Lonchura striata: one gene and its partners. The protein of the gene in region 2 purifies or fractionates together with the protein of the main gene of each other region. This does not show direct contact. Links are inferred from orthologs where the notes say so. Each region holds a gene or a part of one and is shown on either strand. Other genes may lie near its edges.

Evidence for each region.
Region 1: the proteins of DMD (region 2) and SNTB1 purify together in Homo sapiens (co-immunoprecipitation; 4 studies listed by BioGRID and IntAct, counting the BioPlex papers as one, with this or other methods). This does not show direct contact. The link is inferred for Lonchura striata from reciprocal best matches to the Homo sapiens genes DMD and SNTB1.
Region 3: the proteins of DMD (region 2) and SNTB2 purify together in Homo sapiens (co-immunoprecipitation; 4 studies listed by BioGRID and IntAct, counting the BioPlex papers as one, with this or other methods). This does not show direct contact. The link is inferred for Lonchura striata from reciprocal best matches to the Homo sapiens genes DMD and SNTB2.

The regions. Positions count from the first base shown.
Region 1 is NC_134603.1:13,521,976-13,529,625, reverse strand, and holds the start of SNTB1 (beta-1-syntrophin), read right to left. Parts: upstream 3,068-7,650; 5' UTR 2,986-3,067; coding exon 2,463-2,985; intron 1-2,462. UniProt on the Homo sapiens protein: Adapter protein that binds to and probably organizes the subcellular localization of a variety of membrane proteins. May link various receptors to the actin cytoskeleton and the dystrophin glycoprotein complex.
Region 2 is NC_134604.1:107,466,106-107,473,221, reverse strand, and holds the start of DMD (dystrophin), read left to right. Parts: upstream 1-4,032; 5' UTR 4,033-4,753; coding exon 4,754-4,850; intron 4,851-7,116. UniProt on the Homo sapiens protein: Anchors the extracellular matrix to the cytoskeleton via F-actin. Ligand for dystroglycan.
Region 3 is NC_134615.1:23,002,585-23,009,620, reverse strand, and holds the start of SNTB2 (beta-2-syntrophin), read right to left. Parts: upstream 3,074-7,036; 5' UTR 2,961-3,073; coding exon 2,447-2,960; intron 1-2,446. Other genes in the region: UTP4 (U3 small nucleolar RNA-associated protein 4 homolog), read right to left, coding at 3,608-3,724, 4,069-4,179, 4,255-4,440, 4,565-4,660, 4,989-5,095, 5,329-5,488, 5,601-5,723, 5,824-5,888 and 4 more. UniProt on the Homo sapiens protein: Adapter protein that binds to and probably organizes the subcellular localization of a variety of membrane proteins. May link various receptors to the actin cytoskeleton and the dystrophin glycoprotein complex.

The DNA of each region.
Region 1 (7,650 bases), on a different chromosome or scaffold from region 2:
TACACCTTGCCATGCCTTTGCAAATTTGACTTTCCTGGGCTGGAAGACACAAACAAATCTCAGAATCTCCCCAAAATGTAGATCTTACATTTTGACCCTGGAAACACATGCTGACTTTGCTCTGTGAATTGGATAGAGTCTAGAGAGGACCTGCACAAGGGTGTTGCCCTGCCCCATCACAGCCTGCTTTTTGCCATATATAACTCTCTAAGAAGTCAGGAAATGGCAAAATCCTATTGTCTGTAAGGAAAGGAAAATCAAGTGTTACCCTTCCATACTTTAAAGAGTAAAAAGAACTTCTGCATTTTCCTTCCTTTAGTAATAAACATACCATTTTAGACTCTGCTGCTGAAGAATGAGCTTCAAAGTGGGCAATAAAATCACAGAGAATTGTTCTAAGCTGCCTGTTTTCACACGCCATTCATGTGGAGTGGGTCCCCACTGAAGGGAGAAGCCCTCCCAGGCAATGCTGGAGCCAACGTTTGGTTTGGTTACTCTGCTGAAATAGCAAGAGAAAGCCAGGACAAAATACGGAGTGCAGCATCAGAATATTTTACCTCTATATACAGATCACTACTGAAATATATTCTCGTTTTGCAAATTACAAATTCAATTGCAGAAACAACTACTGAGGCACCTCAGCACGGAGCAAAGAAATGCAAGACAGCTGTGATGTCAAAAGGAGTGAAGGAGGGTGCTCAGAGTCCCCACTGAAACGGCTTCATCTTCACTCCTAGCCTGGAAGAAAACAGGGTTTTTTAAGGCTCACCACACAGAGGCAGGGAGATTTGCAAGCATCATATACATTACTCATTAGGTCACAGCAAAAGCCCAGCCACTACCTGACGGCACCCCAGAAAGACCTTACACTGCACAAGCAAATCAGTGACAAAATTTAGATGCAACAGCCCCACTTCAGAGAAGTTCATATTAATACTTCAGAGGTATAGCTGTAATCAATTCAGCTGCAGCAAGGGAAGACAAGATGCACTTCGGTCCTGCAGGTATTGCAGGGCACAGAGGGAGAGGAGACACAATTGTCCTCAGCTTCTTAAATCCTCATGGAGCATAACTCCTCCAGTTTTCACTGTCATAGGGACAACAAAAGAGTTTCTCAGCACACACTACTATGGAATACATTTGTCACCTTCTCTCCCTTTCAAACTTTTTCTGCAAATTTATGCCATAGTTGGCTGCTCATGGCTGATCCTCAGCTGCACCTCCCAGCCAGCGGTAGCATCTCCTTTTGCTCCTCAAAATAACCACCAAAAAAACACAGAAAGAAATGCGCGGTACGGAAAGGGCTACAGGTACAGCGAGGTGGGAGTGCCGGCAGGAAAGCGATGGCACAGGGGAAGGCAGCGATGCAGCATGCCTCAAATGCCATTGACCTCCGGTTAAATGAACTCGTGGGCAAATATGTAATCACTTTATCATACACACGCCAAGGGCAGTTCTGAAGCTGTTCATTCTCTCAGGTGGAGCAAGTAAATTAGCCCTTGTGAAAAGACGGGGATTAAACGTTTGTGCACGCCTCTCTCCTCATGGACTCGTAGTCTGAGGGAAACCGCCTGTGCTTTTCTACTCGCTCTCCCCCAACATCCGTCCCGTTCTGGGGGGACACCCTCCCTCCACGTCCCCTCCACGCACACCAGCGTCTGCTCTTTTCTCTGAGGTCAATTTCTAAGGCTACTTTTTACAAAACTGTTTCAGCCACCCTTGAGAAAGGAAAGGGCGCTCCTTTGCAGGGGTGGGATGGCTAGTGAGTCCGTGAGGCACCTTCAGCTTCATTTAAACCGCTTTGCCCCCACCCCACATCCCTATTCGGGAGTACGTGGTGGAAGGAGGAACTGGAGAGAGGGTGGTGTCGGGCGTTTCGAGATGACTGGGGCAAAGTCACCCATGTCATTCCCTTAATGCCAGGGGAGGAAGGAGGGGTTCCTTTACTTGTTTAACCTCTCCTCTCAAAGTACCCAACTCTCCCCACCTTTCTTGTACTGAAAAGATGTGAAAGCGTCCTGACGGCAGATCCAGAGGATCCCTCACCCTGCAGGAGGCTCGGTCAGGCTCCTACCGGGAGCCTCAGCCCAGGAGCAGATATTGAGTGTATTGGGTGCATCGCCGCGACCAGACGGGGCTGCGGAGCCTCCACCGACCGCGCACGGACGAGGCTGTGGGGACTGCACCGGCGGATACGAGAGCGGAAAGTTCAAGCCCGGCTCCCCGGCATCCCGCTCGTCCCTTGCCGAGGGGCTGTGTCCATGACACACGCCGTCGAGGGTCCCAGCGCGTACAGGGCGTGAACTCTCCGTGCTGAAAGACGCTCGGAGGAGCAGCAGGAGATGCGCGGGGTCATCCCCTCGCTCCCAGCTCGGCTCCGCCGCCTCTCGGGCAGCGGAGCCGCCCCGCCCCACAGGCCCCCGCTCCCGGGTGCGCACGGCCGGACCGCCCCGCTCCCCTACCTTCCAGCAGCACCTCCTTGCCGGCCCGTTTGAGCGCCTGCACCGCCTCGTCGTGAGTGGCATCCCGCAGGTCGGTGCCGTTCACGGCCAGGATGGCATCGCCCACGTAGAGAGCCTGGGTCTGGTCGGCCGCCAGCCCCTTGAAGATCTTGCTGATGAGGATGGGCATCTTGTTCTCCTTGCCCCCCTTGATGCTGATGCCCAGTCCGCCCATCTCCTGCTTCAGCACCTTCACGCACCGCTTCTTGTTGGAGATGGCCTCGGGCACCTGCTCGGGGGGGTCGGTGAAGGCGGTGCGCGCCGCCGCCGGCCCCCCGCCGCCCTCGGCCCCGCGGCACGCCGTCCCATCGCCGCCCAGCCCGTTGTGCGCCGCGCCGTCGGGGCGCTCCTCGCCGCTCAGCACCAGCGCCTCGCCGCCCAAGTTGGCCAGCACTTTGTGCCAGCGCTCCCGCACCAAAACTTCCAGCCAGCCGCTGCGCTGCGCCCGGCCGCCCCCGCCGCCGCCCGCCGCCGCTACCGCCATCTTAGGAGCATGCTGGAAGCGCCGAGTGACGGCACCCCCGGCGCGGCTCGGCTCGGCACGGCGCGGCCGCTCCGGACTTCAGCCGGGGGGCGGCAGCTCCCGGCGCGGCGGGGTGGGGCCAGGAGCCGCGGCCGCCCCGCCGGGGCCGCGCCGGGGCGGGCGCACCTGGCGGCACCGCCCGCGGGCGGAGTGGGACCGGGGCGTCCCGCCCCTGCCGCGGGGACACGGCGTGGGACCCCCGCGGGGAGCCCCGGCTCCCTCCGAGCCCCACGGCGTGGGACCCCCACGCGGAGCCCCGGCTCCCTCCGAGCCCCACGGCGTGGGACCCTTCGGGGACACGGCGTGGGACCCCCACGCGGAGCCCCGGCTCCCTCCGAGCCCCACGGCATGGGACCCCTCGGGGACACGGCGTGGGACCCCCGCGGGGAGCCCCGGCTCCCTCCGAGCCCCACGGCGTGGGACCCCCACGCGGAGCCCCGGCTCCCTCCGAGCCCCACGGCATGGGACCCCTCGGGGACACGGCGTGGGACCCCCGCGCGGAGCCCCGGCTCCCTCCGAGCCCGGGCTGTGGCCGCGTCTGGCGCTGCGGGGCCCCGCCGGAGCGGCAGTGCCAGCCCCGCAGCTGCCGTCTGCAGTGGGGTGTAGCGGGGAGCTGTAGGAAACCAAGGGCAGGGAAGAGATAAGGAAAACCCAGTTCTGTTTTATTCCCAAGGATTTTTCTATAAAGTGAATTAAAACTAACGGGTGGCCCCAAGTACTTAAATTTCAGCGGTATGGAAGTAGAATACAAGTTATTTCACGGCTTTGTAGGATGAAGGTATTAAGTGTTTGTGACTGATACTTTTGCACATTTAGTAATTGTTTATATGCCCTTTGATTACAAATGTTAAAGACTTGTGGGGCTACATGTCTTTTTTTGCAATTTTTCCCATACTCTCTGCCCTCCTAGGAAACAATAGACCCCTGACAAGGGGCTTAAAGCTCCCGCTCAGGCATCAGAGAAAGCAATGCTTTCAGGTTGCCTTTCAGAAATGTCCTCAGCAGGCCTGGAGGTGCTCCCCCACAGCAGCTGCAGACAGGAAGCACCTCCAGGACTGCCTTTGTTTCTGCTCCTTGCAGAGCAGCTCTGCTTTCTTCCTAAGCTGGAATGAAAACTCCAGTGCTTCTGGACCATCTGGTGTATGTATAGACAACACTTTGTGGAGGCTGGGATAGCCAGAGAAGTTGGGGATATTGGGATAGTCCAAATAATTTTGGATAGTCCCAATCATTTCAGCCATGTGAGTCATGTGGCTTCCTAAGGGCTCCATCTTGCCCTTTTTTGAAGTGATGCCATTCATTTCTGACACTGGGGATTTGTTTCTAGGTACACACATGTGCCCCAGGGTAATGTGGGCTGGCCAACCTGGGACTCACCTCCTCACTTTGTGGTGGGACCTATATATGGGATCATCCTCAGACGAGTTTGTCTTGGTTTAGTAGGGTCTCTCAGACCATGCTTCTTCCCTCCAAAAGGAGGCCTCTACTTTAGTTCATCTGCAGCCTCATCCAGGTTATGGATCCCTCCTCCCCAGTAGGAATGCAACCCTGCACCTATGGAGAGTGAGAATCCAAATTATGTGTTATTCAAGGATAATGAGTGGGTGGAGAAAAAGCAGACGGAAGAGAGGGCTCTTCATTTCTCATGTTAATCAATGCAAGGTGAAAAGCTATAATTAAGTTTTCAGGGCTGTGAATCCAGAGTGAAAAGAAGCATGTCCCGCTAAACCTGAACAAGGTACCTAATCCCTGTGCAGGAGCAGGCTGCAACACACCCTTTTCTCCACCTGATTCCTCCCTTGCTCATTTAGTAGCTCATGTACAATACCCTGGATGTTTGGGTTGGTGGGTTTTTGTAGATCCCATTCCCAGGTGCAAAGCATAATTAATGAATGTGCTCCTTTGGTTCCAGCAGCTTTAGGTTTGTAAAATAAGGATGGGAGGGAACAGACAGGTTTGCAAAATCAGGTGTTACCGTGCCTGTTGTTGTAGCATTCACACTCCTGTGTAGCTTCAAGCACAAATGTCCAGGTCAAGTTATAAAATCAGACATCTGTTTCCAAGTGATCAGCTCTTACCAATTATTTTTATGTTTCTTCTTTAGTAATTAATAAAGGATGAGTGCTGCTGCTAATGGAAAAGTGTATTTTTGAAGTAGTTCAAGAAAATTTATAATGAAGAGATATTTAGGTGGTTTCTGTCCTGTTGTGCAAAGGTAATAGAGAAAGGAAAGTAAATGTTTAATGCCTCACCCTTCTTTGGCACACTGTGTGTTTGGGCCATGTTTGCTGACTGTTCCTGGTGCTCCAGTAGATTCCCATGGAACTCACTTGTATAGACAATTGCACTGCATGTAGCTGAGAGTTGTGCTTATTCCAGATATTTTGCTTTCTCATTCCAACTGAGGTACATAATGAAGTTTCCCAGGACCTTCATCTGAGATATGGATCCCCGGTACAAAATAAACTTCATAGCAGCCTTCCCTGCTTCTTCCTCCCCCTTTTTGCCCACCTTGGGACTGTAAAGAAAATGGAGGTGATGTTTTAGTCTTGAAAATAAAGGTAGTGTAAGAGATGCTAAGGCACAGGCTCGAGGCAAACAGTGCCACAGATTGTCTTTCCTCCTGAAGACACTGCAGTTGATACTGATGCGTGTGTTCCCTGTCCTGGGAGTGCAGGCTCATAATTCTGTTTGTGTACCCTGAGTCTTTGTGTACCCCAAGAGCAACTTTGGGCTGCTGAACTGAAGGTGAGAAAGAAAAGATGTCTTGAGATTTCTCTGCTGGTACCCCTACCAACATTACTGACTTCAGTCCTGCCTCAGGTCTGCCAGTCACACCTGCATTGTGATTTCTGAAATTCAGGTTTATGCAGCAGGAGCAGAAACAGAAGATAAAACCAGGCATTTAATTGGGTGTTCAGATATTGGATGCCCAGGTTTGCCACAGAAAATTGTTATTCCAAAGTCAGCTGCTGGTCCCTAATGTTTTCCAGGGCATAGCAGAAAGCAAATTCCTGATTTCAACTACAAACTTTCCCTGACAGTTTTGTTTCTGGCAGCATCTGTAATTACTCACACTGCAATTGCAGTGTTCAGTGACTCTCTGTAAAGAAGCTGAGATGTGTGGTGGGATGGGCAAAGCACTCAATACTTCCAAACTTCCATCTCTAATCACTAGAAAGCCGTTCAGCACAGACAAGGCTTAGCAAAACTCTCTCTCCATCAGTTTTCCTTCTGAAAGGGTTTGATGTGAAGAATGGAATCTTTCAAACAAGCCAAATAATAATTTTTTGATTTTTGTATTTTAGCAGTGCTTAGATGCTTGAACTAGATTAGTGTCCCTTTCATTCCTGCTATATAAACAAATTGTTAGGCAAAATAATGCTAATAGCTGCTGTTGACCTGCAGGGGCCCATGGGCTCAGCTGAAGTCAAGGGCCTAAATGGAAGAAGCAGTTCAGTGAACTGGAAGAAGTCAGGGCATTGAAAAACACAGAAGCTGCTTCCCAGGACAAGGAGCACCAAAGCATGTCCAGGTCATAAAGTGCAGAAGTGATGTCTGAGGAACTGCCCAGGTGTCCAAGCAAGATCAAGGGATTTGGGGTCTGTATGTGCAAGAACAAAAGTACAAGAAAAACTGTGCAGAAAGGGTTGTGGGTATGGTGCTCAACTTTCTGTAGAGGCTACTGGAGACAATGAGGACACTGCCTGTTAATGGGGGCTTTTCCCTTTTTTCAGGCAGAGGCCAGTGTTCATATCTTGTGTACATAAACTGTCGTCCTAATAGCAAAATCATTGCAAGGCCACATATGCAAGCTCACCACTCAGCACTACAGGGAACATAGTTCCCATTTCCCTCACAGGCAGAGAAGGTAAGGACACAAGAGAGCCTTTCTATAGCTGTGGCTTCTTTATGACTGTCTGTGCTGTTCTATAGCAGAGGTGTAATTTTTTAAGGACTTCTGGGACATGCTTAAACCCTTCTTGTATCTTATTTTTCTTCCTTTTTGCATTATCAGTGTTACAACAGCTTAAAGCCAGCTCAGCCAAAGCTGCTTTAAATTGGAAAAAACTGGGTTGTGATCCTTGAACATGCTTCAGCTGACGGAGGTTGGACAAAATCAGGTCTGGATAATGACATTCCCATCTTGTTACCCTGACACCGACCAGCTCAGCAGACAGATCTGGATAGGAAGGAAGTCCAGTGTTGGAAGGCCAGTGCTGGAAACATGGCAAATAATGAGAAAGCTGGAAGGGAGTTCAGCTCCTTCAGTGATCCCAAACACTGTAGCAGCCAAGTTTAAGTTCCTTTCTGAGGAACATGCCTGAACTACTCGTTCCCCCATGGCAGCCCCTCCTATGTCTATGCCTGATGGGATGCAGCAGGGCAAGCTCCAGTGCTGATGCAGATGTCCCTGTTGCCCCGTGGGGGGACATCACACGTGGCCTGTGTCATGCTTTCCAACAGGGATTGCTGGTGCAGGGCAGGCAGCTCACCTAATCCCCAGGAGAAATCCTCCCCTCCTCAGTGCTGAGGGAGCCTGTTGTTTTTAAAGTCAGCATTCAGTAATCACTGCTCATTGGTGCTGGTGGGGTTTATGAAGATGTCAGGAACGCCTGAAGGTCT
Region 2 (7,116 bases):
TCCACTTTTGAGTATGCCGTGCTCTGCATCTCAGAAAACTGTTTCTGTAGCATTTTTTGTGAATAACTTTTTAATGTCCTGTAGTATGAAATCCTGTTCTTGCTGAAGAAATCACTGCTTATTATTGCTGTAAGTACATCTGTAATAAAATTTTGAAAAAAAAATTTACAATAAACATGGTCAATCTTATTTCAAAAGGTTGGTCATGAATCCTCCTAACACATTTTGAGATCAGTGTGCTTTGAGCTTTCATCTTATGACAAATGCCTGAACATAGCTGAATTTCATATACCTAAGATTCAGTTCAAAAAACAAAGGTGAATTCTGCACAAAAATAACTGGATAAACTATGGTGCAGGGGAGCAAAAATTTTTAAATCCCTGAAAGTTTCAGCTCCTGGGATGTCTGTCAGGTTCCTAGCTGGATGACTTGGGACATACACATATCAAACTTCTCTTTGGCCAACACCATGGTCCTGTTTGGATGATGAGGCCTCTGAACCTTTCCATTGGAAAGGGCTTGTAAACATCCATGTGGAGAGGATGATGGCACTGGCCTTTTGGTTTATAGAGACATGACTTTTATGCATTTTTAATTTTCAGTTTTTCATACACTTGTCTGTAGTAATTTTTTTTTTAAATCTTGAGCAGTCAAAGCCACATTTGCTGAAATTGTCCGAACTTATCCTCTCCAAATGATTGAAATACTGCCATAAAAATGAAAGTACTGATTTGTCTAACTATATTGGAAAGTGACTGTTTATGCACAGATTACTCTTGTACATCAGAAATCCTATAATTGAAAAGTAGCTAATATAGAATGATTAACAGTAAGAAATAATAATTCCTGTCTGTGTTATCCAAACAAACTTCCCAGTGCTTTTATTTGAGGCGTTTATTAATCTAAACATGCACAGTATATCATTAACGTATTTTCTTGCATGATTGATCGATTGAATTAGTTGTTCACTGGGAGAGGCATGAAGTATCTAAGTAAAATGGGAGGCAGGGAAAAAGGGAAGAGAAAGTGACTTTCTTCAGGAGATATATTAGCAAAACAAATGAACAATATTTGCTAAGCAAGATCAGCATTCATTTCTGCATACTGGAGAGAGTTCATTATGTAGAGCGTCATGTAGAGCTGAAGGTCAAGGCCAATGTGCTTGCTTCCTGTTTTTCAGTGATCCATTATTTGCTCTTGCTTGGTCAGAGTCACTGGTGCTTCCAAAGAGGAAAAACAAAAACAAACAAACAAAAAAATGGCTTCAAGAAGAGGCTCTACAGATACCTGAGTTGTCACTGTCATATGCACACACCACCACAATAGAAATCAAGCACCCTGAATGCACCAATCAGTCCCTCTAGTAGCAGTGAAACAATTAAAACAAATAGATATGTCATTGCCATAAGCTGTAGATGGATAGGAAGAGACTTGTCACCCAAATAGGCTGGAGTTTCTTTGCCTACTGAGTTTTCAGTACCGTAGAAAGCAAAATGCCACTTGATGAGTGTTTTTCCACTTGTCATTTATTTCTGCTTATTCCAAATGGTTCTGTATAAGACAAAAAATTATGTATTTGTATTATTGTAGATTCTGGGAGTGCAACCCATGGAGCTTTCTCTCTAAAGCAATTCATTCCATATGGGTGGGTTGCTATAATTATATCTATGCAGATGCTGAATCCACTTACAATATGCAGAAACCACGGCTGTTGTTTTTGCAGAAAAATGCAGAAAAAGCTAGAGAAAAAAGCCAGCTATTAATCTGGCCTGTTAGTATGTGGACAGAATGACTGATACTGGTTTCCCCTCCCAGATTCTCCATTTATCTCTGGGCTGTTTTTCTATACAGTTAGTGTGCACAAAAGATACAAACATTGGTGTATTTCAGTTTCCTTCTCCTCCAAAAGAGATAATTAATAATATTTGTTGGTTTTTTTTTTCCCCAGAACAAAAATAGTTACTCCCCATAGACCTGATGTGTCTGGGAACGTCTGTGTGGCTGAACTGTATCCCATCCACTGTATGTGTGCTGTGTTGCAGGGCACTAATACTGAATGGTGAACCACAGTGGGTCCTCCCCATAATGCCATGCTTATTTGTCTGGAAATGCTCTTCATCAGTCCTTTATTTCCCCCTCTTCCTTTTTGTAATTCAAAGATATCTGCGTGGGATAGGAGTCTGGTAAAATATATTTTGCCACACCAGATGCTCCCATTAAATTTTCATTACTATATGTCTTACTAACATATTAAATGTTTTTCTTGATATTTTAATCTATAATCTTGCACATCTCAAAATCTATTGAATTAGAAATTTAGCCTATGTTGAGTTTTTGGGTACTTTAGATATTCTCTGCAAATACAAGCTATATGATATATGTGCTCAAACTCATCTGTTGTGAAATACCATATAAATTCCTTCTTTCTGTGTCTATGATTTAGAAATCGTAATGCAGCTAGAAGTGTGAAATATTAAGCATATCCTTTTATCTACTTGGAATTGATGGTGACTTCAAAGTTAGTCCTCATTCATTGCCCGGTTTGTTTCACTTCAGCAATGGCTTGAACTGTGAACAAAAGGAGCTGACAGTATTTTCAGATGGGCGCTTTATAGTTGTGCACTTTGCAACTATATGGTAGGACTATCTCTGTTGCCTTGAATGCAAAATTAGCTTGTTGATACGTGCTGCTACAGACAGAGGAACAGATGTAGTAATTCTACTTTATTTACATGAAATCTCTAAAAAGGCATTTTCTGGCAGCATGCTAGGAATAAATACAGCATCACATATAGAAACGGCGCCATGCTATGTTAGCTCCTTCAGGTGTCAGCTGTGCCATTTGGATGTGGGCGAGAGCAGGGAGTCAGATCCCTCCCAGAAGGGCTGGGAGATTTTTCACATTCTGCAACCCAGCAGCAACCTGCCCCTCAGCCCAGGGTCTCTGCTGAGTGCTGTGCCAGGGGTACCCGCTGGTAACAGCCCTGTGGGAGTCCTAGAGGAGGATATCAGATGTTCTGAATTTTTATTTCTATTTGTTTTTCAAAATAGGAAACCCTCTTACCTTGTTTCCTGGATTGTTTTTGGGATTTAGGTTATTTAGTTTGGATTTTGTTTGTTTCTTTTGTTGTTTTTGTTTGTTTGTTTGTTTATTTGGAGGGTTTTTTTTGCTTTGGTTGGTTTTTATTTTGTTTCTCCAGCCGCCTGCCCCCCCCTCACCATTTACTGTCTATGACTTGGATCTCCCCTGAGCTCATGCTTTCAGGCTCATTTTTCACAGCCAAGACCTTGTGGAACTTAACTGAGATTCGAAACTTGTGGGGGAGGAAGGGGCTCATAGGGTGGGGAGGGATTGCAAACCACAGAAAAGTTCAACATATATAATCTGAGTAAAGAAATGAGGCTTAAGTCTATGAGTCTTTTGAGCCAGGACTACAAGAACTGGTGAGTGATGCTGAGCTGGCAGCTGCCACAAGGGAAAGCTTTCCTGGGGGACTCTGCCTTTTCTCCCCTTCCTCTCTCCTCATTTGCCATTGTGCAAAGGCTGAGGAAGGATGTAGGTATTACTCCAGTGGCAGTCCTTGCTCTCCCCTCACTACTTCAGTCAACTATCAGGTTTAAGCCAGGCTGTTGCCTCTATTGAATTGTCCCTTCTTTCACTCACAAACTTTCCACTGTGGGGTTGGGGTTGTTTATTCAGCTTATGAGCAACCAGACACATTAAAGATGAAATGCCTTGCCTCTGAACTGCAGGCAGAAGTGGTGGGAGGAGACACAGCTAATTTGACTTGGAGGATGATTGATGTGTAGATGTCAATTTCTATTAATATTCTTTTGAAATCACTGACGCAAGCGTGTTTTTCCCCCACTCAACAGAAAATATAAATAGAAAGACAACAAAACAACCCTGTCCCTTTAATTCCTGATACTCAGAAACAGTTAAGCAAACTCTGTCATTTGAAAGTGTCCTCCACAGGCTGGCAAAAAGCAGCTTATTGTGGTGTTCTTACCACTTTAAGAATATCAAGATGCTGTAACAGAGCTATCTACTTACTGTTAAAATGTATAAAGAACAAAAAGCAAGTGTCACTACAGATAGGCTTAGATAAATTGCTTAAATATGTACAGCTCCCTCATTAGACAGCCATTCATTGCATGAAAAGAACTAAATGCATTTGTTGAGGTGTAGCTATAAAAGCCATGTTCAAAATGAACAGAGTTGAGAGCCTGAACGCACAGCACTGTTATTCAGAAGTAGCTTTCGAGCAGAGAGTTTCAACGGGAAGGTGCTGTTTGGTTGGACACAAATCAGCAAACGTTTAGCTGAAGCTGAATAATTTGAGCGTGCATGAAGAGCTTCCTGAAGAGAGAAAAAAACGCAAGAATAAAAAAAAAAAGGAAAACCTTCAAACATTTGCATCAGCCTTAGAGGACAATACAAGCAGCAGGATTTGAAACAGATTTACAGATGCACTCTCTTTAGGCAGGGAGAATGCTCATTAAATGCAAGATGCTTCTGTGGCTCGTGGGCTTGCACGGAGGTAGAGGTTTGCAAGACTGACGTATCAGATAAAGTCAGAGTGGTTACCACACCGACGGTGTAGCAGCTGCATAATAAATGATGGAGAGAATCATGTTAGGCATGCCCACCTAACCTAACTTGAATCATGCGAAAGGGGAGCTGCTGGAATTCAAATAGACTTTCTGGTTCCCAGCAGTCGGCAGTAATAGAATGCTTTCAGGAAGATGACAGATGCAGGGGAAAGATGCTGTTTTGCACTATCTTGATTTGTTACGGCAGCCAACTTATTGGCATGATGGAGTGACAAGAAAAGCAGCTGGCATGGAAGGTAGGATTATCAAAGCTATTGCATCATTATGAATGTAATTAGAAACTGACCATGACAAAGCATATGCTAGAATGAGCTGTCACTGATGACAGAGGATTTGTTGCTGAGGTCTTGAAACTCTGAAAACAAAATTCCTCGTGCAAAATGGATTTTGCAGTTTCATTTATGCTCGTGTTACTCTTTCTTTCCTGCTTGCCTGCAAGCTCGGGGAATTGCTTGCTTGAAAGAGAGTGTTCTGTTAGGATGAGACTGAAGAATAAAGTATTTTCTAAGTCTCTGAAGCCTCAGGTAGATAGAAACAAACAAATGTGAAACAAGACTGGGAAAAGCTCCCTCCGATTCACTAGCAAGCTCTGATTGATATATTGGTATATTGAGGAATTCCAAGGAAATGAAGATGCATGTACTAAATGCTCTGGTATAACAAAAGGATATTATTGCATGTCTCTGCTTTACAGTTAGTTTTTATGACAGGTTTTATTCCCCATCAGTTTTTAGCTCTTGACATTTATCCGGTTGTTCAGAATTATATAAAGAAAATACATCAATATCTCCTGCAGGGTTTCTCAACAACTCCAGCATCTGTTTCAGCTATTGAACTGTACTCACGTTTTGCCAACTTGATGCCTACCCAGCTGGTCTGTCATTTCTCGCTTGATTACTGTTCCTAATTTCTCTGTATCAACTTGTTTCAGATAGGGTTCTGAAAACTGTTAATGAGAAATGACAGTAACTGCTTAACTGTTGAGATCTTGAGTATTCTCTTATTTTTAAAACATTAGAGAGCATTTCTGTGTGCATTTTATTAAATTCATGTTCTGTGTTGCACTGTGAGGTTTTCATATAATTACTGAATTTAACTGTGAATACTTTAGGTGGGTCACAACCATAACTTTTAACTGAATATTTTGAGAGAGTTTGAGAAAATTTACAGGTGTTTTCTTTGGTGTAGGTATTGTATTATTACATGATCCTTCCTCTTGTCCACCTCACAACATATATATTCTCCCTGTCTGTCACGGTGAACAGTCATTAAGTGCATATTGTACATATTGAAATATATTTTATCACCACTAGGGTGAACCGGCTGAGCAGCTCTGAACAGGTGATAGGAACAGGTTTAAAACAGACATCAGCTCTACAAGAGTGGATCGCCCTCGATTAGAGAGGTGAAAGTAGTGCTTTGTAAATGTAAGGTATTCTCTTTCTTCCTATTCAAAGGTTCAACAACCACTCAAACACTGCTTGATAGCTCACAGGTTATGATTATGTTAAATTACTTGGATTACTTTACAAAATGCTTTCTTCTATGTAAACTCCATTCTTCATTAGAATTTTCTTCATTAGAAATTTTTTTTCACAGGTGATAATCAAAAGATTTCTTGTCAAACTGGATATTCACTTTTCTGACTTTATCTTAAATTACTTTATTGGCTGTACTCTGTGTTGTCTTGTCAACAGGGATCAGGCTATTAAAGACTAAATGTTGCTGAGTAAAACTGTAACAGTTTTAGAAAGATAGATGTTTCTAGATACATAGCAGTGAACCAGCCTTTGGAAAGTTTGAATGTAAGGATCAGTAAAACTAATAGCTGGTTGGTGTTATTTAGCTTCTTGTGCATTTCCCTGTTTTGATCATTTACAAGAGACATTTTAAATTATTTTGTAACTGCTGGGAGGGGAGATGTACTCATTAACAGAGAGGATCACTGTAGGGTATGAATAACCAGAAATAGTTCTGTAGTTTTGCTGATAATAAAATAAAATAAAATTTTATTCTGTTTCATCGAAGTTCAATTAAATTTAACAATACTTTCTCATTGTTGATCACAGTGAAACCATAGAGAGAGAAACCTCTATAAACAGCTTAAGTCTCATTCTCCTTTTCAGGGTAGCAGTAAAACTGTTTTATATTGCATATATTATATCTTTATACTCCTGAATCTGCTTAGTCTCTTCACGTCTCCAGAATGCTGGCTGGCAATCATCATGCAGTAGTTACTTAAAATATTCTTTTCCCTGTGATGCCAGTAATTGTAACTTCATGCTGTCTGTGGCCATCACCCAGCTGACAAGAGATTTTTTTAGTTTGTTTCTGTTTTCTCTCTAGTATTTGGTTTTAGCTTTCTCTTTCACTGATGAATTAATAGGACACTAGGTGGAGCCAGCTGTTGATTATAAATAGATCTACAGTAATACAGGCCTGTCTAATGAGCAAGCCCCAGTATATAATGCTTATTATTAAAAATAACAATTTAAAATGTTA
Region 3 (7,036 bases), on a different chromosome or scaffold from region 2:
GGAAGGGGGAGCGAGGATGGGGCGGCAGGGACGGGGAGCGGGCAGGAGACACCAGCCCCCCGCTTCCCAGCGGCTCTGCTGAGCCACGAGGTGCTTGCCCTTGCTGCGGGCAGCACAGGAGTTAATATTAGCTGCTGCCGCCGCGCTGATCCCGGGATTACCGCCGGCCCCACACCCCTAATCCCGCTGCCGGGCCGGGCAGGGAGCGCCGCGGGCAGCTCCCGCTGCGGGGCCGCTCGGCAGATGTTTGCCAGATGTGGGCAGCTGCCTCCAGCACTGGGAGGGAGCTCAGCGCGTGGGGCTCCAGCTCAGGCACTGACCCCGACGGAGCCAGGAAGGTGAGAGGCCAAGCTGGGCAGCCAGCAGCTCGGGAGCCAGGGGTGCGGGTGCCCCGCGGTGACCGGGAATGGTGGGTGATGCCCAGGACTGTGTCTGCCCACGGTGGGGACAGCAGAACCGGCTCCCAGTTTTCAGTGGGCAGCATCCACGGTGCAGGCAGGACACGGAGCGCCTTGTGCCAGCAGACACGCGGCTAGCACGGGGGTGCGACCACCCCTTCTGCTTCTGGCGAGCCGTGACCAGCACGCAGCCGCACCACGAGGCCGCTGCTGCCCCGACGGAGCCACCGTCACCCGGCAGAGCCACTGCCACCCACGCGCTCACCGCAGAGGAAGCCCGGCTGTCGCTGCGCCCCTCGCTGCCCCGCTGCAGGAAGGGGCTGCACGGCACTGCCTGCTCCGGCTGCACGGCACTGCTGCCGGCACACCGGCCTCACCGGGCCGAGCCCCCACACCCGGCCGGGAGCACCGACCCGGCTTCCCCAGGCCTGTGCCCGGGCAGTGCCCATGGTCCGCACCGCACCCACAGCTCCGGAAGGGCTCCCTTCCCCCAGGGCAGCAGATGGGCCCGTGGGTGGTGCCTGGCGTGGGCCCCGAGGCCAAACCCAGCCCCAGGATGGGTGACACCAGCCCCACGGAGATGATGGTTTCCCCTCCACCACTGGCACTGAGCCCAGGAGAAGCTCTGGCACCTGCCAGGGCGGTCACAGCTCCAGGGCTGTGAGGAGGGATGGGGCTGGATGGCACTGGATGGGCAGTGTCCCCCATCAGCTCCTGTCCCAGCACAGGGAGAAGGAAAGGGAAAGGGAAAGGGAAAGGGAAAGGGAAAGGGAAAGGGAAAGGGAAAGGGAAAGGGAAAGGGAAAGGGAAAGGGAAAGGGAAAGGGAAAGGGAAAGGGAAAGGGAAAGGGAAAGGGAAAAGGAAAGGGAAAGAAGAGGCGTCTGCCGTGGTGCCCGTGGCGGAAGCAAGGGACAAACACAGCACAGAGCTGGAGCTGCTGCAGGACAGGATCAAACGGCTGGGCAGCGGGAGGAAGGACGGGCAGCGGGAGGAAGGACGGGCAGCGGGAGGAAGGAAGCACGGGCTGAACCCAAGAGCAGCCCCCACCACAGCACCAAGCCTGACACCGCTGCTCCACCTCAACCCCTGCGGCACCCCAGCCGTGCCCCAGCGCCTCGTGCCAGGTGTGCCCACTCCGGGGAGCCCAGCCGTGTCCCCTCGTGCCACTGCAGTGTGCCAGGAGCTCGTGGCAAAGCGGCAGCACCCGTCCCTGTGCCCTGTGCCCAGCGGGCACCGTGTCCCCGGAGCAGCCTCGTGCAGCGGAGGACAGACAGACGTGCCAGGACACCAGGACAGTGCGTGTGGCACCACAGCACTGTCTGATAGCCCTCCCTGATGGCACAGGGGGCTCGTGGCCTCGCGGTGCCCCGTGGCACACCGTGCCGCGCCGCCGGGCTGGGCAGGTCCTGCCCGAGCTTGTCGGGCTGCCGGGAACAGGTCGGGCAGGAGCCGGTGGCTCCGTGGGCCAGTCCCGTGCCAGCTGTGCCGCGGGCACGGGGCCCGCGGGGACACCGAGCCCGCAGGGACGTGGGCAGACCCTGGACCAGCACCCGGCGTCACAGCCCCGCCTGGGGCCAGCCAGCCAGCCTGGGGGTGCCAAGGATGGGGGACAACCTGCTCAGGGGGACGCCACAGCCAGGGGACACCAAGGCTGCCCTGGGGGATCCCAGATGTGTCTCCGAGGGAGCCCAGCCTGTCCTGGAGGAGCAGTCGGCGGGGATATCCTGTCCTTGTGCCCGGCTGCCATCCCGCCACAGACGGAGCAGCCCGACCCGAGGGACGCCCCAGCCCCTGTCCCCTGCCCCCCGTCCTGCGGGCCCCCCGAGGCTCCGGGGATTTGGGGGGACACACAAACACGCCAGGACTGGGGTGGGGCAGTGGCGTCCCACACCCGGAAAAGCGACCCAGAGCGGGTCCGGGAGCCCGGTGACAGCGGCAGGGGCGGTGGTGGGAGCCGGTAACGGCGGGGGAGCACCGGGGCGGGGGACAGGAGAGCACCAGGGGCCCGTACCGGGGATTCGGGGGACAGGAAGGGGCTGAGGCGTTACCTTCAAGGATGACCTCCCTCCCGGCTCTCTTCAGCGCCTGCACAGCTTGATCGTGGGTGGCATCGCGGAGATCGACGCCGTTAACGGCGAGGATGGCGTCGCCTAACCGGAGCGCTCCGCTCCTTTCCGCCGCCAACCCCGGGAAGATCCGTGAGATCAGCACCGGCATCCGATTCTCTCGACCTCCCTTAATGCTGATCCCGAGCCCTCCCGCCTCCGCTTTCACCACCCGCACCCTCCTCACGCCACCGGGTGCCGCCGCCTCCGCGTTGCCGTTCACCACGCCGTTCACCACCGACGGATCGCCGGTTCCCGGTTCCGCCGTTAAGCTCAGCGTTTCGCCGGTCAGTTCGGCCGACACGCGGACCCAGCGGTCCCGCAGGAGCAGCTCCAGCAGCCCCGTTTTACAAGCCCGGGTCCACACGGCCATGCCGCCGCCGCCGCCGCCGGTCACCGGGGAAGGGGCGTGGCCTGGCGGAGGGGGCGTGGCTTGCGGCCCCGCCCCCGCCCGCATGGCGCGCCACGGTAGGCTCGGGGGCGCGGGAGACTGGGGTGGGGCCGCCCCGCCCCCGCCCCGATTCCACCAATCAGAGAGGAGGCGGCTAAGCCACCGCTGATGCGATTGGTCGCTCTGAGAGGCGGGGCAAAGGAAGCCACGCCCCGCCCGCCATGTCTGGCGCTGGGATTTATTTGGCGCGCTGCGATTTATTTGGCGAGCCCCGCTGTGAATCTCCCGTGCTCTCCGTGGTCCCCGATTTCTCGCCCTCCGTCCTGGGGAATGACGCTTCCCTGGCCCACGCAACACCCACAGCCCCCGTCCTTAGGGAATGAGGCTGCCCGGCCCCAGGCAGCACCCACGGACCCACACGACTGATGCGGAGGGAGAATCCAACACCGGGATTAGACACTGAGGGAAAAGGGATGGAATTTGGGGTGTCACCTTATCCCTGTGCCCCGGGGAGGAGAACTGGAAGGATATGAAGATCATGTTGACATGATGGTGGTGTAACAACAGGGAGTCACGCACAAGGATGAGCCCTGAGCCTGGGCATGTACACAACAGTGAGGTTTTATTCCTACAGCACCTTAAGAAAATTCTTACAGTGCCCCAGGAAAGCAGCACAGAGACGGTTCCCAAGGTTGGAGTGGCTTCTTCTGCTCTCAGGTGCCAAATTTCTTCTGTTGGACAGGCTGAGGCAGCTGGGTTTTGAAGTCCATGATGGGTCGTTCCACCACAACCAGGCAGTTCTTGTCCAGCAGATCCATGAAGAGCAGTGGCTGCAAGGCCAGAGATGGGAATCACGGAAATAGGGAATGGTTTGGGGTAGAAGGGACCTTAAAGGATCTCGTTCCACCCCCTGCCATGGCAGGGACACCTTCCACTAGCCCAGGTTGCTCCAAGCCCTGTCCAGCCTGGCCTTGGACAGATCCAGGGGCAGCCACAGCTGCTCTGGGCACCTGTGCCAGGGCCTGCCCACCCTCCCAGGGAACAATTCCATCCCACTATCCCATCTAACCCTGCCCTCTGGCACTGGGAAGCCATTCCCCCTTGTCCCCTTGTTCAAAGTCCCTCTCCAGAGCCCGAGCACCTCCTGACCCTGCTCCCCAACACCACCACCCACCTGGAACTTCTTGCAGATCTTGAAGGCGTGGAGCTGCCGCTTCCGGGCGGTCTCGGGGAGCTGTTTCAGGGTGCTCTGGTTCATCAGGATGGCGCCGTCGTCGGGCAGGGGCTGCGGGAGCGGGCAGAGCACGGGTCAGGCCGCCCCCGGAGCGCCCGGGCAGCCCCGGCCCTCCCCCCGGCTCACCAGGGACTTGTCGAGCACGCAGAGCAGGAAGGTGTCGTGCAGCAGGATGTGCGCGGCGTTCTTGGGGTTGAAGGTGATGTGCGTGATGGGCGAGTCCCGCTCCAGCCAGACGCGGTGCAGCCCCCGGCTCTGCACGGCGCGGCTCCAGCCCGTGTACTGCTTCTCGGGGATGCTGAACTCGGACAGCTGCGGGGCACGGACACGTCAGGGGCGCCCCAGCGGCTCCAGCCAGGCCCCCGAGCCACGCTGGAAGGGCAGGGACACGGGGAAGGGAGCAGAGCCACGAGAGCTCCACTAGCAGAGCTCCTACCTGCTGGTCCGAGTAGGCGATGACGAGGTTGTTGGTGATGGGGTGGATGGCGAGGGCCGATACGGCGCAGTCGTAGCTGGGCACCACGCAGTGATGCTGTAGGAGGGGACAGTGTGCTGGTGGGACCCGCCACAGCCACTGCTGACAGCGCTCCCACACACCCATCCCGAGCAGAGCCTCCAGGACTGCCTCTGACCCCCCTCCCCACACACCCACCCCGAGCAGAGCCTCCAGGACTGCCTCTGACCCCCCTCCCCACACACCCACCCCGAGCAGAGCCTCCAGGACTGCCTCTGACCCCCTTTCCCACACACCCACCCCGAGCAGAACCTCCAGAACTACCCCTGACCCCCTGCCCCACACACCCACCCCAGCCCTGCTCCAGGGGTGCAGTGATGTCTCCAGGGGTCCCTCCCAGGCCCACCTTGAAGCATTTCAGGTTGTAGACGTGGATGGCCCAGTCGCCGCTGACGGCTGCCAGCCAGTGCCCGTCCGCGCTCGGCGCCAGCAGGTAAACGGCCTCGGAGCAGCCTGCAGACAGCCTCGGGCTCAGAGGGGTGCTGGGAGCCTCAGACCCACAGACACCCAGCCCCACGTCCCCCCTGCCTGTCCAGTGCCCGGCCACGAGGGCACAGACACCCCCGGGAGGGACTCGCACACCCCTCAGGGCAGGAAAGGGGGACACCCCCGCTCTGCACCCACAGGGGAGGGGAATGCGGAGCCCAGGAACCCCCAGCCCCACCCCAGGAACCCCCAGCCCACACCTGAGGGCGGCCGCAGTGTGTGCAGGTGCTTGCAGCCCCCCGGCTCCTGCAGCTGGAAGACGTGCACAGCTCCTCGAGCGGAGGCCACGAAGAGGCTGTCGGAGGCGGCGGAGAACTGGAGCTGGTAGGCTGGAGGCAGCAGCTTGGGCGCTTTGGGGACCTGGCAGAGGGGAGAACGCAGCCCTGGCAGCCGCCCCGCTGCCACCCATGGTCCCCACGAGTGACGCTGGCTGTGCCAGCCCCCAGGCCCCACGGCCCCCCGCCCCTCTGACCTTGCTGAGGCTGACGCCGTCCCCGTCGCAGTGCACGCGGTACAGCTGCAAGCGGGAGGCCGTGGAGTAGCCCAGCCAGGTGCCACAGGGTGAGATGCTGCTGCAGTAGATGTGCTCCGGGCCCTGGGAATGCCACGGGACTGAGGGGGGGCCCGAGGAACCCCCAGAGCCCAGCACACGCCCCTCACCTGCCCCAGGGGCACCCCAGCCCCCTCAGCCCTACCTTGCTCTTGAGCTGCAAGAGGTGCTCGGGCATCTGGCACAAGGGAAGGACCTCACCGTCCTTTCCTGGGAAAGAAAGCACACGGACACCGGTGAGTGGGAAAACCACACGGGGCTCTCTGAGCAGCTGGGGATCCTGGGGGAGTGCCCAGACCCTTCCCTGAGGCCCAGGACAGCTCAACCCCCAAATCCTGCTGGCAGCCTGGGCTCTGCCAGGGAGCTGACACCAGAGAGCTGTGCCTGTGACTCACCAGTCTCCTCAGTGGAGCCAAGTCTCCAGAGCTCCAGGTACTGGGAGAACTGGAAGAGGAGCAGCCGGGCTTTCCTGGCGCAGGAGACGAGGCGTCGCTGCGTGGAAAAATGGGCAGGGTGTCATGGACCCACAGCCTGGCACAACGGGCTGGGGCACAGCCGGAATGCCCTGGAGTGCTGGTGACTCCCCACGGGGGTGAGCAGGGAAATCAGGTCCCATGGGATGGAGATGGAGACCCAGCAGGACCAGCAGGACCAGCTTGGCAACTTCCACTGCTCCTTGGCAGAGCCTCCAGATGTACCAGGAAAGGAGACAAACAGGGCAGAGGAGGGAGCCAGGCTCAGGGAAGGAACCCTGGCAGGGCAATGAAGGCACCTGGAGGGGCAGGGAGATCCAGCCCTTCCAGCCCCACGACCCCAGTCCACGCATCACTCACGTGGGGGAAGATGAATTTTCGGAGCACCGCGTCGTAGCTCTTCTTCTGCACCTTCTCCATCAGCGGGCGGATCACCAGCTGGGCATCCAGGCCTGCAAGCCAAGCACAGCTCAGCCACACCCTGGGAGGGGAGATCCCGCCCAGTGCCGGAGCCAGCAGCAGTCCTACCCCCGGAGATGAGGGCGGTGGGGCTGTGTGCCACGGCCCGCACGTCGTGGCTGTGGAACTGGAACACCTTCGTGCGCACCCACTGCTTCTCCAGCCCGCCCAGCCTCACTGGCAGCAGCTGCAGCTGGTAGGTGGCCCCGCTGGAGGTGCCCACGACTATGCTGTCCTCTTTCTGTGGAGGGAAACGGGACGGGGCTGTGGGAGCAGCTGGGAACAACAGGAGGGCACTGCCAGGAGGCCTCGAGTGCGGCACCTCCGCTCCCTGCCAGCCAGGGGGGAGCTGGGGGTGTCACCCACCTCTGACACGGCCAGCGAGAGCACGGCCGAGGTGCTGACGGCGCAGGACTCTGCCAGCGT